Drosophila melanogaster: one gene and its partners. The protein of the gene in region 1 interacts with the protein of each later gene in a pairwise test. Each region holds a gene or a part of one and is shown in the gene's direction. Other genes may lie near its edges. The genes, in order: REPTOR-BP, gt, CG14183 and narya.

Region 1 (3,084 bases):
TTCGTTAAATAAATAATGAAGAGACGACGACTATCAGTTTTTTGTTTTTTCTTTTTTTTTTATCATTCTGTTGTTGTTGTTGATGTGGGGGAATGAGGGAATCTGTTGGACGATCGAAAACGATCGAATGCTACGATTTTAAATGTTTGAGTCTGCGTTTTACGGTCGCGCTTAAGTTATTATTTATTAATCTTTACTCATAGGCAATCCTTAAGCAACTATGAGTGGTGTTGTCATTAGAATCGATGGTTTCCCACCGGCGAGCGGGACCTGAAGCGTCCGGCCGACTGACCACCAGTGCGTCCGTAGCTGGCGCTACTTCCGCTGCTGTAGCGGCTGCTGTCGCGTCCACCGCCGTAAACCTCGCGGCGATTGAAGCCGCTGCCGCCGCCCTCTCTGCCATTATAGCTGCTTGCACCTGATCGGCCGGAGCTATAGCCCCGCTCCGTGTGCCGGCTTGAGGATCCGCTGGATCCGCGCTGCCGGAAACCGCCTCCGCCGCTACCACCGCTTGTGATGCTGTGCCGGCCAAAGTCGCCGCGTCGTCCGCCCCTGTCCATGGGTCCGCCACGCCTACCCTGGCGTGGCCGCCCTTTTGAGATCTCCACGCGCAGCTGGGAGCCGAGCAGCTCGGATCCGTTCAGTATGTCGCACGCCTTTTCGGCGTCGTCGCGGTGCTCGAACTCGACGAACGCAAATCCCGGCGGATTGAAGGCTATCCACACCGAATTCAGCTTGCCATACTTTGTGAACTCCCCCTCCAGATCATCCTTTTTCACTTTGTCGGTCAGATTGCCGACATACACCCGTGTCCCGCGCTGATCACCCATGCTGGACATCTGGATTCACTGTTTCTGATTCGTTTTCGGAGTTATCCTGCAAATCGGATAGCTGCCTTGAAAAATAAATAATCAATAAGTTATCACCACCGGACAATTTAGCGTTTGTATCTATATCAACTTTTCGACCAGGGTGGTTAAACTCGTTGCAAAAATGCTAATTTTCAAAAATATCCTCGCATTTGGAACACTGAGAATGGACGTGTGTTGGGATGTATTTATAGTTTAACGGCCCCGTAAAAAGGGACTTCCCGCTGCTCTAGTGACTTGTATTTTTAATTATTTTTATACTTTGTGCTGGGAAATGTATCATGGTAATCTGAATAATACGTCAATTTAATTTATATAATTTTATAAATATTTGTATGATCTTTAGTAAAGTAAATAAAGTAAAACAATATATAAAATGTTTGTTAATATATAGCCGTGTACTTTTATATTTTCTTCAAACCCCAAATAATGAATAATTATATTGAACATTTATTAATTATTATTTAATTAATTTATAATTTAACTATTATCATAATTTAACTATTTAAATATAATGACTATTATCATTTTAAGTCATTAAAAGAAAATTTGTTACGATTTAAACTTTATTTATATTTTTGTTCTTAAATATAAAATACAAATAGTTCCCTTAATGTGTTCCATTCCATCGTTTCTGTTAAGATATATTTCGATTGGCACCTTTGTGTGTAGTGGTTTTGTTTATTGTTACCTTGAGTATTTACGAAAGACGCATAATAACAAAGAGTTGCAAAGTTGTTGTATTATTTGAGAGTTATAATGGCTGATATGGAGATACAGAGCAACAAAATGTCAATAACGGAGGAAACACAAGTGGTAATATATTATTAAATATAAAAGATGTGGTCTTTTTGTTTGAACATGATCTGAATTGTTCTAATGCGCAGTAAGGCCTTGCGTGTATGTATATACACATATATAAGCTATCTTCTGTGTATGCGTGTATATACATATGTGATTTTTATCATGCAAAAGCGCCTATTTTCAAAAAAGATTTTAAGTTTGACTTATCGGAACTAAATTTTTGCGAATAAGAATATTGAAAGCAAATTGTTTTTGGGATATCGTCAAATATTTACATTTTATATTATATTTATAAGCAGACGCGCAAGGAATGTGGAAAAAGGGGACGAAAACCAGGAAGAAAGACGTCTACTGAAAAATTGGACATGAAAGCCAAACTAGGTAAGAACAACATTAATTTCCACTTATAATACTTAAACAACGGTATTATTTTTAATAGTAACAAAGTTTCCAAACACTAATACATGTTATTTCCTATGGAATTTTATATAACGTGTATTTTCCCTTGCAGAACGCAGCAGACAAAGTGCCAGGGAATGCCGGGCGCGCAAGAAGCTGCGGTATCAGTACCTGGAGGAACTGGTGGCGGATCGGGAGAAGGCTGTAGTTGCTTTGCGTACGGAACTGGAGCGCGTCGGTATATAACTTATCATGCCACGTCCAACCAATTTATTTATTCTCATCTTTATTGCAGTTAATTCAATGGAATAACCAGTTGAGCGAAAGCAACACTCCAACCAACAATGACCAGTTACTTCAGGAACTCGGAATCCTCAAACAAGAATAACCTACATTCTTATTTTTAGCTTAAGAATATTACTTTTATAATAAATGTACGACGGTTACTATTTATATTATTACGAAAATACTGCAGAAATTTTTGTTATTTTCTATATTGCATTTTACAGCTTTTTATTGTTTCATTTGTATAGTGATTAAAGCCAAATTAAAGTATTTTTATGATAAATAAGAACTAATTAAATATTTGTTATTTAAGGGTGTTAAACCAATTGGTACACTGGAACAGTGATATATGGAACGATTATTCTAAGGGTTCGATAACTTAGTCGTGAAAAGCCTATCAATGGTTTCTCCCATCTCTCCATCGGCATAAAAATACAGAATAGTCTAAGGAACTGAATAAATGTAAACATTATTTATAAACAGCCATTAATAGTTATTCAATTGACAAACTTTTGTGCTGTAAGCAGCGCTTACATATGTGCCAAAATATTCTCACAACCAACAGAATCTCCAACAAGATATTATGGCTTTAAATGGATTTTTAGAATTCTTCCAAAAGGGCAAGGTGTGTTTGGTCAATAACAAAATCATATGCAGTTGATGTATTTTTAAACTAATTTTCAGACCTTTAGGCCAAAAAAGCCATTTGCCTCCGGAACCATTAGGT
Region 2 (4,341 bases), on another chromosome or scaffold:
GTATATGAATATATGGTTTTATGGCCTGCTGTTTTTTACGTTTTTTTTTCGCTGAATCTGGTTTTTACACCGAACTTGGCAACTCTTTGGCTTCGACTTCGGCCGCGACTTTTTATGGCATCTGCTCGGGATCGATTGGGCTGGGCTATACGTATGTCCAGGATCTGGAAGGGCTCGGGTTCGGGCCCGGTAACCGCAGGTAAGGGATCGACTCAATGACGGCGACGTGACGGTCCGAGTTTTAGTTTAATCCACCATTTTTACGGTTGGATTAGCGCACGGATTAGCGGATAAGTTCGCGGTTTTTTACTGATTACCATCGATCGATCCCTCTTTTTATTTGCAATTCACCCAATCCCCCTGAATGGGCAGTTGTAAAAAGAGAATGAATGAAAGATAGTATATAATGTAGGTATTGTTGATAGGATTTGATAACATTTCAGCGTAACAAATCTAAACTACGTTATGTCCTCGAATTAGCTGCAGTAAGTATCTAGCATAACATTTCCCATGGATGATAGCCAACTTTGTACCGCTACCCACTTCCGTTGGCTGTCGAGGCGACCGTTAGGACAAACAGTTAACAAAGTGAAACAACTTGTCGAGGATCCCACATCCCACGCCGCAGCGGAAGCCAAAGGGATAAAGGACGTAGAATCAAGGATGTTTAAGGAGGAGGGCAAACACGAGCAGTCAACACGGACGGCCACTTGTCGCAATGATCCTGGACTCTCGATTCTCGATCCTCGGGCTGGCGGCGTCATGAATCAAATGGGCAGACTGGCGAGTGTCCTTGCCAAAATTCCGGGAAGCCGAGTTTTCATTGCCGAAATAAGAAAAGGATGCGAATTACGCCAGCCGAAAAGGGCTGAAAATTGCAAGAACGCCAGAACTCGTCCTAATTTCCATAATTTGTCACGCACAATCCAACGAATTCGCCATCGCATGGATACACAGATTCTAGATGGGCTGGTCAGCAAAAGGATTTCGAAACAAAAGCGCAAAACAAACGGATTTAGCCATCACAACCCTTGGATGTTGTGCATCTATTATCAACAAACTAGATTCCATCTCTTTTCTTCTGCCAGATGCCTCTCTTTCTGGCCAGAAAAGTATGATTTGAGTGTAATTATAATAGTCTACGGTCGGGGGGTCTTTGATATGCGAAATGTTCTAGAAGATTCAGAAGTATGGTTTATTTCAGTGCTGAAGAGAATAGCCTACGATGTTTAATTGCGGTTTATTCTTTATATTTGAAAGCAATATATACAGCAGTTACTTAAATCTAAAGGTTTAATAACTTAAGATTTTTAAGATTGGTTTTTGGGTAAGGGTTTTATCAGTTGGATGTCAAAGCAAGTAAGTTAGGTACAATTGTAATAAAAAATCAAATGCACAATGCTGGTATATACAAAAATCTGGGGTTTCCTCAAACTTGGACTTATAACATCGCAATGAACGCCTATGAAAATAGAGCCGAAGTTTATAACTCTATATTGATTATGAATATTTTTAACCAATTCCATGAAAACGAAATGTAAAGCACTGCAGAGGTGGTACGAATTTTCCTATTTTTTCCCATTGAATATTAAAACCAAGAAAAAACCATATCCTTTCGCGGAAACTGATGAAACGTAAAGTTCGAAAACTCTTTGTACTTTCTTTTTAAAATTACGTTAAATGGCGAACTAACAATAGCACAAAGAACTATGATTTTTGCGAAAACTGCGAAAACCAAATGAGGGAAAGGGCAGCCGCACCCTTGTAAAACCCTTTCGAAAGCGGTGAGACAGAGAGGGCAACAGGCCAGAGCGGGACAGAGTCAGAAGCAAAGCCAGAATCACCCCTTTGCCCTTTGGCCTTTGTACCGCCTACCTGCTTCGTACCGCTTCGGCTGGCCGCTCGTGTCCGCCATTTCGATGTGAATGAGGCGTCGGCGCAGCCTCCGGATTTTCGGTATAAATGCAGGGGGTTCCGACGAGAGGAAATCAGTTTGCGTTCGACATCGTCAGCGTGAAGATATAGCAACATCAGAGCTAGATCACCAGTCTATATAGCGTCAATCAGTTGGATTAAACCCAGAGACCATACACCGAACACCATGCTAATGCACGAGAAACTCATGGCCGGGCAGTTCTTCGATCTCAAGACTGGTAAGTTGGCCACGCCCCTTGGTTTCTCCTCGATCCGTAAACTAACAAATCCCCTCTCTCTCTCAATCTTTGCAGATCGCAAGCCCCTGATGCACCACCACCAGTACCAGCACCACCAGCAGCAACCACTGCACCACTTGCCGCACAGCCAATTGCCGGTTCAGGGATCCTTGGGCCTACCCAAAATGGATCTGTACACGGCCTACGCCTACCAGCAGCAGTTGCTGGGAGCTGCCCTCAGTCAGCAGCAACAACAGCAACAGCAGCAGCAGCAACATCAGCAGCTGCAGCAGCAGCATACCTCCTCTGCAGAGGTCCTGGATCTTTCCCGTCGATGTGACAGCGTAGAGACACCCAGGAAGACTCCCTCGCCGTATCAAACAAGCTATAGCTACGGCAGTGGTTCCCCCTCGGCTTCGCCCACCAGCAATCTTCTGTATGCCGCCCAAATGCAACAGCAGCAACATCAGCAGCAACAACAGCAACAGCAGCAGCAGCAACAATTAGCCTCCCTGTATCCCGCTTTTTACTACAGCAACATCAAGCAGGAGCAAGCCACGCCCACTGCTGCTCCGCCCAAGGTTACACCAACCGCTAACCTTCTGCAAACCTTTGCTGCCGCCTCTGCTGCGGCCGCCGCTGCTGCTGCCGCTTCTTCGACCAACTCACCAAGACCCGCCAGCAACGCCAGCACCATGCAGATAGACGTTCTGGAGAATCCCCTGTCACCGGCTGTTGAGGCCACCACGCCAACCACCTCCAGCAGCGGCGAGGCGGGAAAGAACACCCGTCCCTTCAAGGCCTTTCCCCGGGATCCCTTGGTCATAGCTGCCAATTTCGCAGCCACTGATGTCCTTTTGGACAATCCGCGAGTGGAGCGCTACACGGAATACCGGAAGCGAGTGCTTGAGCAAATCCGCAGCTCCAACGGAGGATCGCGCACCGTAACCAACCCAAAAATGCGAAGGACCAACTCAAGAAGTGGATCCGTCAACGAAGGCAGCTCCTCAAACAACAACAGCGAAAGCGAGGATCGCGCTGCTGCGGAGGAGTCAAGCGACTGTGACTCCCAGGCGGGCAACTTCGAGAGCAAGTCCGCCACCAGCAGCTCCAGCAACTTGGCTAACGCTACTGCAGCAAACTCGGGCATCAGCTCGGGCAGCCAGGTTAAGGATGCCGCATACTACGAGAGGCGTCGCAAGAACAATGCTGCCGCCAAGAAGTCCCGCGATCGCCGCCGCATCAAGGAGGATGAGATCGCCATCAGGGCCGCCTATCTGGAACGCCAGAACATCGAGCTCTTGTGCCAGATCGACGCCCTCAAGGTCCAGCTGGCCGCCTTCACCTCCGCCAAAGTAACCACCGCCTAAAGGTCCACTCCTCTCTTGATGCGTTGAACGCGAGGATCCGAATCGTATGTCCAGTTTTTGGGTCAGCTTATCTGTGAATAGTTTAGGGGGCTCAACTTTCTTTTTTTTTTACACGCTCGCATTTAAGTACTTTAAGTCCTTGGAGTATACGTTATATTTGGAAAATGTATTAGCTGTAGTGCATCTCGCAATCCCACCAGTTAACTATCAATGGAATCATCTATAGTTGTAGAAGTCCCAGCTAGCTATTAATGTTTAACTTATAAGTGAATTTTTTTCATAGCCCTAAGGAATGAATTTCAATAAATTATCGAAAATAATTATCTCCTGGAATTTCTGTTCTCGTTGGTCGCCTCCTGGAACTCCTGTTCGCCTGGTAATTTAAACCGAAAATCTGTTAATTTTGCTTACAAAATTAGCATTTTTGTGGCAAATTTTGGGATTTTTGGTACCAGGCCAACATACTCAGTAGCGGGTGTCTACTGAAAACCAACTAATCGTTGGTCGCCTCCTGGAATTCCTGTTCGCCTGGTAATTTAAGCCGAAAATCTGTTAATTTTGCTTACAAAATTAGCATTTTAGTGGCAAATTTTGGATTTTTGGTACCAGGCCAACATACTCAGTAGCGGGTGTCTACTGAAAACCAACTAATCGTTGGTCGCCTCCTGGAATTCCTGTTCGCCTGGTAATTTAAGCCGAAAATCTGTTAATTTTGCTTACAAAATTAGCATTTTAGTGGCAAATTTTGGATTTTTGGTACCAGGCCAACATACTCAGTAGCGGGTGTCTACTGAAAACCAACTAATCGTTGGTCGCCT
Region 3 (5,278 bases), on another chromosome or scaffold:
ATCTTCATCAATCAAGAATGTGCTCGTTCTCGTGGGCTGGCTGTTGGGGAAAATGTCATATAGGTTGATAGAAAAAACAGCAATATAAATATTTCAAATTAATAATTGATGTCTACCAAAAGCAGTTAAATTTTTTAATATCTTCACAATTATTGCCGATTTCCAATAAAAATATAACAAATTAATAAAGTATAAATTTAAATCAACTTAATTCCCAATAAAAAGTATTTCATAATAAATAAAACAAGGATAACGCTAGGAACAGTAAGTAATAAACTAGTATTCCCTTATGAAAACCCATGAATTTAATGTCCGATTAAAATTGTAATATTTAGCGCCTAATCGATAACAAGTATGTATACAGCTGTTTTAAACTGTCTGGTAGCACTGATCTTATCGAATATGTACAATTCCATCCCTAGAAAAACTTGCATAAAAAATAAAGAACAATTGAACAATTGCATTTAGAATGGAGTATGTGCACTCTGTTTGGAGCTACCTAGCCTCGATCTGCAACTGCTGGCAATGCACCGAAGATCCAGGTGCGCAGGTAATCCGCACATTCCCCTTTCCCCGTCAACAGACCGAATACACAATGCGTTCCATCTGCAGCCCAACGAGCCGAACGAGCGGACACACCTTCTCGTGGACCCGGTGAACCATAGTCCTGCCCTTCGACGGAGCAACTCCGATGGCCTCAGCACCGACTACGCCCACTCCCTTCCCAAGAAGGACGATCAGAACGCCCTCTCCAGACTGGTGCAGAATACTGCGATGTACGTAGTTGATAGTGTATAGGGTCCACATTTGGCACTATCATATACAATTCCATTGATTGGAATGCTAGCATTTTACAGCGATTGCTATACTATACTATACTATAGTAGTATACCTACGTAGTTATAGCGATGGCAGGATCTAGTATGTAGTATGGTTATACCCAAGCATTTATCGGGATGTTCAATGCAACAAAGCAACACAGCCCTAATTATCGCTTATCTATATTATATTTGTATTCGCTTATACGCTACTTTGCTCTCCAGAAACATGATAAACGTTGGAGCCATGGACTGTCACAGCCTGGAGCACCAGGAGTACGCCGATAGAATAAGATTGTACTCGCAGCGGTTGCATCAACAGTGGAACAACGGCCAGCACGCCAGTATCGCACCAAAAGGTTTGCAATATAGCTAGATTGAAAGGGTGAATGATGACTAACAATTAAATGAACAACAGGTCTCCTTAAAGATGTACCAAGCCATCAGTTCTATCTGTCTAAGCCAACCTATCCAGATGACACTGCTCAAGTGAGTTTTACTTTTCGCAAATTGCTTGTTGCTTACCAATTTCGTATGTTTTTAGATGAAGCTCTTCACCGAGAAGGCACACATCAGTGTCTCGCACATACAGATCGACCACAAAGAGGCCGTGGTTGTTCCCTTCCGGATTCCCTGATTATCGTATCTTAAGTGAAATAAAGTGATAAATTTATATAAAATCAAAATCTATATTGGTACTAAGTAGCCCTTGAATAACCAGGTAATCGACTTATTTTCATTAAGTGTACAGAAGCAAATAAATACATACTATATTCTTAACACGGCAAGACATTTTTTTTATTTAGGAAGGCACACACACACACATATAGCTAAAATCCAAAATGTCGTTCGATCTTAACCATAAATTTTGGGTCTACACGCGCAAGGAAATTGGTAAATTAATCAAGAAGCAGAACCGCCTGAAGAAGATTGAGCCGCCAGAGGAAAAGGCAGTATCGTATAAAATTTACGCAGAGCTCTATGTTTTGTATGTGGAGCTGGTCAATAAGTTAAGTTTCATATACCACAATACTTTCCAAGTGCAAAAGCGGGCATTGGTACGTGTTTTGGTGGAGAATGCCACTCAGCAGCTAATGCAACTCAAGGAGGAGTTAAAAGACTTGGAAATGAGCGAATACATTTACATAGATAAGGCGCTGATCGCTAGGAAGCTAACACCACGGGACCTGGTCGTATGGAGGTCACCACAATTCCTTTACCGTCGCCCGTTGGACATTCAAAATATCATTGCCGACAACCGATTGTACATGAACGATGAGGAAAAGGAAGAAAAGGCAGCCCAGGATTGGGTTCCGATCAGTGAGGCGGTCAAGCTTATCCAAGCTCACGAGAGGGCGCGCCGAGCTCGGGTTTACAAGTCCAACATAAAGTACGACAAGAAAAAGTTCCTCAAGGTCCATCAAAGAAAGAAAATAAATTACAAATTCACCTTTAAGCCTGATCAGGCAATGAGTATTCCCGTGAAGAGAACCATTTTTTCAGCTGACTTCTTGAAGGCGGACGAGTCCTGCGAAAATCTTATCAAAAAGGATGATGTAGCGGATACCGCAATAGATGGCAAGTAGCTAGATCGTTTCAAAACAATTAATTTGGTTTTTAATTATTTTCTAGATGAGGAAGCCTTAAGTGCAATACAGAACAATGCTGCTTGTAAAATCCAAAGTTGTTGGCGTGGTTACAAGACGCGGAAAATAGTTAAGATTAGGAAGCGGTTCAAGGAGGAATTGTATGGTATGAAGAAAATTAGGAAACTGAAGCGACCCAATCAGACGGCAAATTCTATTATGGAAATGTACAAGAACGAGATGCTCAAGAAGAAGCTGGATGAGGACTTCATCAACTTGATCAACGATGAGCGCACCCGATTGCTGCAATTCCGAAGTCCATGGATGATGGAAGATATATCCGATCATATCCGGGCATGGTTCAAGGAATTGTGAGTTGTTTTTCATTGAGGCAAAAAAGGCAAAAACGTATAACTCGTACTTAACAGCTACGACGCGACTGGGAATTTTCATCCTTATCCCGATCCTGTAAAACAAGGAACGGTACTGGTTGTCATTGATGAAACAATGACGCCAATGGAATTTCAGGAAAGCCTTGGTAAAAAGCCGCTGTCAAAAGCCGAGTTGAAGAAACTTCGCGATAAGGAGAAGAAAGAGAAAAGGAAAAAGAAGGAAAAGCTAAAACAACTGAAAATGAAGGAAGCTAAACGTCGGAAGAAATTGAGAGACGCTGGAGTCATCGATATTGGCTACGAGCTAACTGCAAGCAAGGCAATTGGTAGATAGTTTGACTTAATGGAGAATGTTTCCATTGTCTCCAAATACTCTCTTCAATTTTAGAAAACATTGAAGAAACAATGAAGAAGTACTCCAAGGACTGGAGAAATGTCGATGAATATCTAAACAAGAATCATGATCCCATCAAGGAATGGGTTACTGAGGAGCAACTGGCAAAGATTCATCAGGAAGTGAGGGGCTTGGTCGACGAATACATGAGGTAAATTTATTTATATTTACAATGAAAATATAACTTTTCAACTTCCAGGGTTGAGTATGAGTTGCTGCGGGAGGCCTTGGCGAAGGATAACGATGAGAAGTACAAGGCTCTCAAGGTGAAGTATCCTAAGAAGAAGAAGGAGAAGAGGAAGAAGAAGCCCAAGGACATGACAGGCGATCGGACACTGGAATCCCTGTACAATGAGCTCAAAGATGCCGGCATAATAGAGGAAATTGGTCATAGGGACTTTGATGAGTTCATAACGGACTTCAACTTTGTGGCAGACGACACTCGAGATGAAGATGGCTTAACGTATGTTGTAGTTATTTGTTGAAAGAGCTACTAAGCCTAACAAAAAAAATTAATATCGATTTAAAATTCAGCACATTGGGCCCAGCAAAGGGTGACATTAAAATGGTTATCCAAGAGTCGATGCTGGGAATGGGCGAATTCGATGTTCCGAAGCCGAAGTCTCTTTTGCTAATTGGACCTCTGAATAGCGGAAAACGATTGCTGTGTGAAATCATTGCATCCGAACTAGGTATAGTAACATTTTGTTGGGAATTGTTCTTTTTTTTTTTTTTTTTTTTTTTGTCGGAGCACTTAAACCTTCTGTCTACTCCAGATGCAGTTTTTATGAACCTAAGTCCCGAGAATACCTACAAATATGCCAAAGACTTGAAGTACTTCCTGCATGTTATTCTAAAAGTGGCTAAGGCTTTTCAGCCCACCATAATGTACATCGAGGAAGCGCATAGACTATTTTGGAAAAAGGTTCCGCCTGAGGCAGTGGAGATTAACCCCAGACTGCTGGGCACCTCGTTAGCTAGCAAGATCTTGAAACCACTGAAGAAAAATGACAAAATTGTACTAGTCGGCACGAGTAACATGCCCTGGGCGGCCAATGGAGGCATCAAGCGAGCGTTCCAAAAAGTACTGCTTATTCCGAAGTGCGATTACGGCACTAGCTTCCTGCTGTGGCTGGAACTGATGACCGAGAACGCGCCAGATGACATGAAGGAGTACGCCTACTCGGCACTGGCACGCGTCCTTCAGGCGTACAACTCCGGCGACATTGATGATAACGTTAAGGAGACCTTGAACATCGACCGTAAGATGCGACTCAAGAATGAGGCATTGGATCCGAACGAGTTCCTTGAATATTTCCTGAGCAAGAATGAGCCTCCCATTTTCCCTCCAGATGAGAAGGTATACTTGCTTACTTAATACATGTTTAGCAACTAAGTCATTTAACTGAAATTCTTTTTAGATAATGGATAAGTTCAATAAATGGTTCGGCAGCTCAAACAAGCTGGAAAAGCTGAGAAAATCGTATATGGCTCAAAAGTTGGCGAAGGCAAGCAAAAAGAAATAAATAAATCAGTTTAAAACTTATTTAAATATGCATTTTCATATATAACTATTTGTAAGTGTAAACTTACCTTGGCCTTAAACTAATGATACTATGGAAGTGCAGATGTTCTTTGTGTCTTTTTTATTGAAAATATATAACCAAAGTTTTCCTATGGAAAATAGTATCTAACGAAATGAAATAATTTGTGTAAAATGTAGTTCTTATATATTAAGCATGTCATTTAATTGTTTGTTTGTTGTTGTGGTAAAAACTCCTCCAACTCAGAATCTTCAATTTCACACAGTCGAACCGAAATGTTGCTGTTGGATCCAATTTCTCCGACAGTGCATGGAAATAGGTATGCCTCCTCTGAATTTTCTGCATAATTAGAGAGAATCGTGATATTTGTAAGATATGTAAAGGCATTTCCCTTGCTTACCACTTATCGTCCTCCTGGTTTTTATTTCCATCCTAGAAATCGGCCCCTCGGTCATAGAGCTTTCCCCATCGGTCTCACTTGGAAAATGCATCGTCGGTAAATACGAATCAGGATGTCTTAAATATACTTTGCCTGTGGAATAGA
Region 4 (3,329 bases), on another chromosome or scaffold:
TCCTACTTTTTTTCTTGCGAAAAAGCGGACAAGCAAGCTGAGCACAAAACTCGACAGTAGCAACAATGTAGTTGCAAAGAAGTAGACAGTCGGGCGAGGCAGAAGGAGCTGCTGCCCTGCCGAGGAAGCGCACAACTATATCTGAAAATTGGACAGCTTGACAGGCAAAGACCTTTTCATAAACAAGCGTAGCTTCTGTGTCCCGAGATTAGGACAACACAGCACGGTCGAAAGGAGCGCCGCATTAAGGTGCAGATCCAATACAAATCTCTAAATCCCTTTTTGTCATCATCCTAAGCTAAAAACTATTTTGTAAGCTACAAAATTGTGCGAGATAAAAACTAAATCCTTGTGAGGAATTCACCCAGCTCTGTTGTCAGTGGCAAATTGAAAGCTGGACACTTGACAATTTTACATATTGCAATATTCAGTTAAAATAAGCAGCGCAGCTTGAGCAACGACGACCTATTGTGTAGCTGGCTAACTAACAGGCATACGTAGTTATCAAATCCCATATTTCGTATCCGATAATTTATTCTATAAATTCATTCTTTCAACAATTTGATTAAAATGGAAATTTCCCGGCGGCTTCAATGCCAATTGAACGGGGCATAATTGATTTTAATTAAAAATTCCATTGTTTTGGCCCAAAAACGAAATATTTTTGGTGGGAAATCCGAATACAGATTTCCGCCCAACATTTTTCAGTGCGTTTTTTTTTTTTCATTGTAACATGGCTGAAGGGTCCCTCAATTAAAGAAAGCAAATGTTTTTCATAACATTTTTGTTGATTTCCAAAGGGGACAGGCCAAAAGTTAATTTGTTTAGCAATTTTTCAATATGTTAAATTAAATATGTTTTTTTTTTTATAATTAAATACGTTTATTCAGACGATTACTTGTTATTTCGACACTGCTTTTTGTGGCGCAGAATGTCGATCGTTGTCAGTCGCAACTCCCTCTTGCAGGAGTTGCAGTAATAGCCGCCGGAGGAGTGCGAACTGGAGCTACTGGCTACCTCCGTTGAGGACTCTGTGCTCGTTGTTTTCGCCGTGCGGCTTTCCTGCGCCTTGCGACGCTTGCATTTGGATCGGTGCACCAGCTGCTCCAGCACATCGAACTCCTCCAGCTCGAAATCGCAGCGCGTACACTGCCATGGCTCTGCCCGTAGAGTCGCATCCATGGCCGTCGTCCACTGCTGTTCGGCCAAGCAGCTGTACACCACGTGCTCCGATACGTTGAGGCCGCCCTTTTCCTCGTTCGGTGTCATGGGAAAGTCGACGGCAAAGGGGTTCTCCTTGAGCTCCGCGAGTCGCGCGGAAGGTGCCTGATGAGTGTAGAGCCTCTTGATGTCGGCGGGAAGCAGTCGGCGTATCGCATACGCCACATCCAGCGCCATATAGTCCACAAGATCTTGCCACAGCGCGCTGCTCCTATCGTCACTTGAATGGGAAGGTGATTCCTGTTTGCTTTTGAGGTCTGCAAATTGGACAGCATTAAGTACATACGTATTAGATAACTAAGCTCCATTTACTAAGAATGCCAAGAACAACAAGCATTTTCTATAACTGAACAGTTCAAATATCGACAATTGTATATGTAAATACCTAAAAAAAAAAACGTTTTTAAGCATATGTCGTTCCCATCATTTGATTGTTACAATAATAACTGCTTTAAAATATTATGGTGAAAAATCTTTGAACCTGAATACACCACTTGCAGGAAAGGTGTGGTGAACAGATTGCAAGGCGAGAGTGTTCTCACCCGGCAGAGTGGCCAGACCGCTGAGGTAAGATCCGTTAGCCCCATTCGGATATCTAAATCACAATTGTTTAAGAAGAAAACTTGCAAGGCGAGGAAAAAAACATATATTGGTCACTATGTTTCGAGTGCATTGCAACAAGTGTTTCCGTCATCGCAAAACTGATCCAGCCGTGCCCTTCCACTTGACCCAGTGCCGGCACGTGATCTGCGGCCCCTGTTTGGGCCAATCCTCGCTAGAAAAGAACTGCCCGCTATGCGGCCAGGTGCTCAAAGCGATCCAGATCAACCGGGATATGCCAACTAGCGTGGCCAACTACTTCGCGGATCCCCTGCGATTCCAGCAGATCTACCGCAAGATCTCCAAGTTCCAAGCGGACCAGCGAGCATCGGACAACCTGGGTTTCTACCGTCAGTTGCAGCAGCTGGAGCAAAACAAGCGCCAGCTGGAGGGCTTTTGCAAGATGGAGGCGCAGCTGAACCAGAAGGTCGTGGAGGAAAAGAAGCGAATCGCTGAATTGCGCACCTACATCGCTTACCACGAGAATGCGCAGAGGATGACGAGGCGCCGGCACAGTGCAGGTGAGAGATTCCATACGCCGGAGTTCAAGGAGGCCTGGAACACCTCTATCAGCACTTCGGACAAATCGCCGTCGGATATGCCTTCTGATAGCTCCCGCCGGTCCGCGGACTTGGATACCCAGTCAACGCGGAGAAGATCTTTTGGCAGCGACACTAAAGGCTTTCGTCTTTAGTCACTCCAATTACTTGTATAATTTTTTATAGGAATTCTAAGACTATAACCACTTCTAACGATTCAATTAGGTTTTGACCTTCCAGAAGATTCCCAATATAAAGAACCAGATAGATTATTAAGTTGCGCTTAAGGTACTAATTATCATCCGTATTCTATTACTATTACTATTCAAATCGAGACGTTCCACTACTCATGTGCGGGATATGATAACCATAAACGGAAATATAACAATCTACTTTAGCTTACAAAACTCAAAAATCCCCCTAGTAGTTTTAATAATTCCAACCAATCTGGGGAGCACTCACCATCCAGCTTGTCGTAAAGCAGTCTGCTCCAACGTCGGCGCAACTCGATGGCCCGTCTTAAAAGCTCCATACCGCTGCCGGGCATGGGCAGATCCAGTCCCAGCCAGCCGTCGCAGGCGATCTGTGTGATGCCCGCGTTCGTGTCAATGGCGAAGCTGAAGAGCAATAGCGTCTGGGCAGCCGGCAGGCGGATGCAGTTAATCAGATAGGGCTTGGCGGTCTCCAGCAGCGACCTGTTGTAGTACGTAGTTTTTTGGGGATTAGTATGGCGCTGCAATTTCGTACAGACGCACGCACTCACTGGTAACAGAGCAACTGGTGGCGCTTGCTGAGCGGAAGCTTGGGCGTGTAGAAGTCTGGCTTGGGCAGCAGATCGCTTTCGGTCAGCTTAAGCAGCTCGAAGTGCTTGGCGAATTGCGAGTTTGGGTGCTGCAGCACGAAGGGCTTGAGCCGCGTGTGGAAGAACTGCTGACCACCACCCTTGCAGTAGTTGAACTCGTCGCTGAT

Evidence for each region.
Region 2: the proteins of REPTOR-BP (region 1) and gt interact in a two-hybrid assay, tested with the Drosophila melanogaster proteins (2 studies listed by BioGRID, with this or other methods).
Region 3: the proteins of REPTOR-BP (region 1) and CG14183 interact in a two-hybrid assay, tested with the Drosophila melanogaster proteins (one large-scale study listed by BioGRID).
Region 4: the proteins of REPTOR-BP (region 1) and narya interact in a two-hybrid assay, tested with the Drosophila melanogaster proteins (one large-scale study listed by BioGRID).

The regions. Positions count from the first base shown.
Region 1 is NT_033779.5:10,262,580-10,265,663, forward strand, and holds REPTOR-BP (REPTOR-binding partner), read left to right. Parts: upstream 1-1,545; 5' UTR 1,546-1,628; coding exon 1,629-1,685; intron 1,686-1,969; coding exon 1,970-2,054; intron 2,055-2,184; coding exon 2,185-2,306; coding exon of another isoform or gene 2,307-2,310; intron 2,311-2,367; coding exon 2,368-2,460; 3' UTR 2,461-2,532; downstream 2,533-3,084. Other genes in the region: Rsf1 (repressor splicing factor 1), read right to left, coding at 237-839; Mob3 (MOB kinase activator 3), read left to right, coding at 2,941-2,982, 3,042-3,084. UniProt on the Drosophila melanogaster protein: Transcriptional regulator that acts in the TORC1 signaling pathway to regulate energy homeostasis and promote survival during nutrient deprivation.
Region 2 is NC_004354.4:2,426,613-2,430,953, reverse strand, and holds gt (giant), read left to right. Parts: upstream 1-1,986; 5' UTR 1,987-2,101; coding exon 2,102-2,153; intron 2,154-2,228; coding exon 2,229-3,523; 3' UTR 3,524-3,841; downstream 3,842-4,341. UniProt on the Drosophila melanogaster protein: Represses the expression of both the krueppel and knirps segmentation gap genes. Binds, in vitro, to the krueppel regulatory elements CD1 and CD2. It is required in the early embryo for the development of portions of the head and abdomen.
Region 3 is NT_037436.4:20,024,144-20,029,421, reverse strand, and holds CG14183 (uncharacterized protein), read left to right. Parts: upstream 1-1,586; 5' UTR 1,587-1,660; coding exon 1,661-2,396; intron 2,397-2,450; coding exon 2,451-2,775; intron 2,776-2,832; coding exon 2,833-3,122; intron 3,123-3,184; coding exon 3,185-3,341; intron 3,342-3,389; coding exon 3,390-3,653; intron 3,654-3,724; coding exon 3,725-3,882; intron 3,883-3,966; coding exon 3,967-4,550; intron 4,551-4,611; coding exon 4,612-4,716; 3' UTR 4,717-4,735; downstream 4,736-5,278. Other genes in the region: Lamtor1 (late endosomal/lysosomal adaptor, MAPK and MTOR activator 1), read left to right, coding at 470-550, 613-776, 1,044-1,177, 1,237-1,307, 1,363-1,455; kug (kugelei), read right to left, coding at 4,937-5,073, 5,135-5,266.
Region 4 is NC_004354.4:19,473,288-19,476,616, forward strand, and holds narya (narya), read left to right. Parts: upstream 1-1,775; 5' UTR 1,776-1,879; coding exon 1,880-2,515; 3' UTR 2,516-2,768; downstream 2,769-3,329. Other genes in the region: CG32533 (uncharacterized protein), read right to left, coding at 895-1,478, 2,823-3,055, 3,124-3,329. UniProt on the Drosophila melanogaster protein: Required for the formation of DNA double-strand breaks (DSBs) together with nenya and vilya during the meiotic recombination process. Plays a role in DSBs processing into crossovers.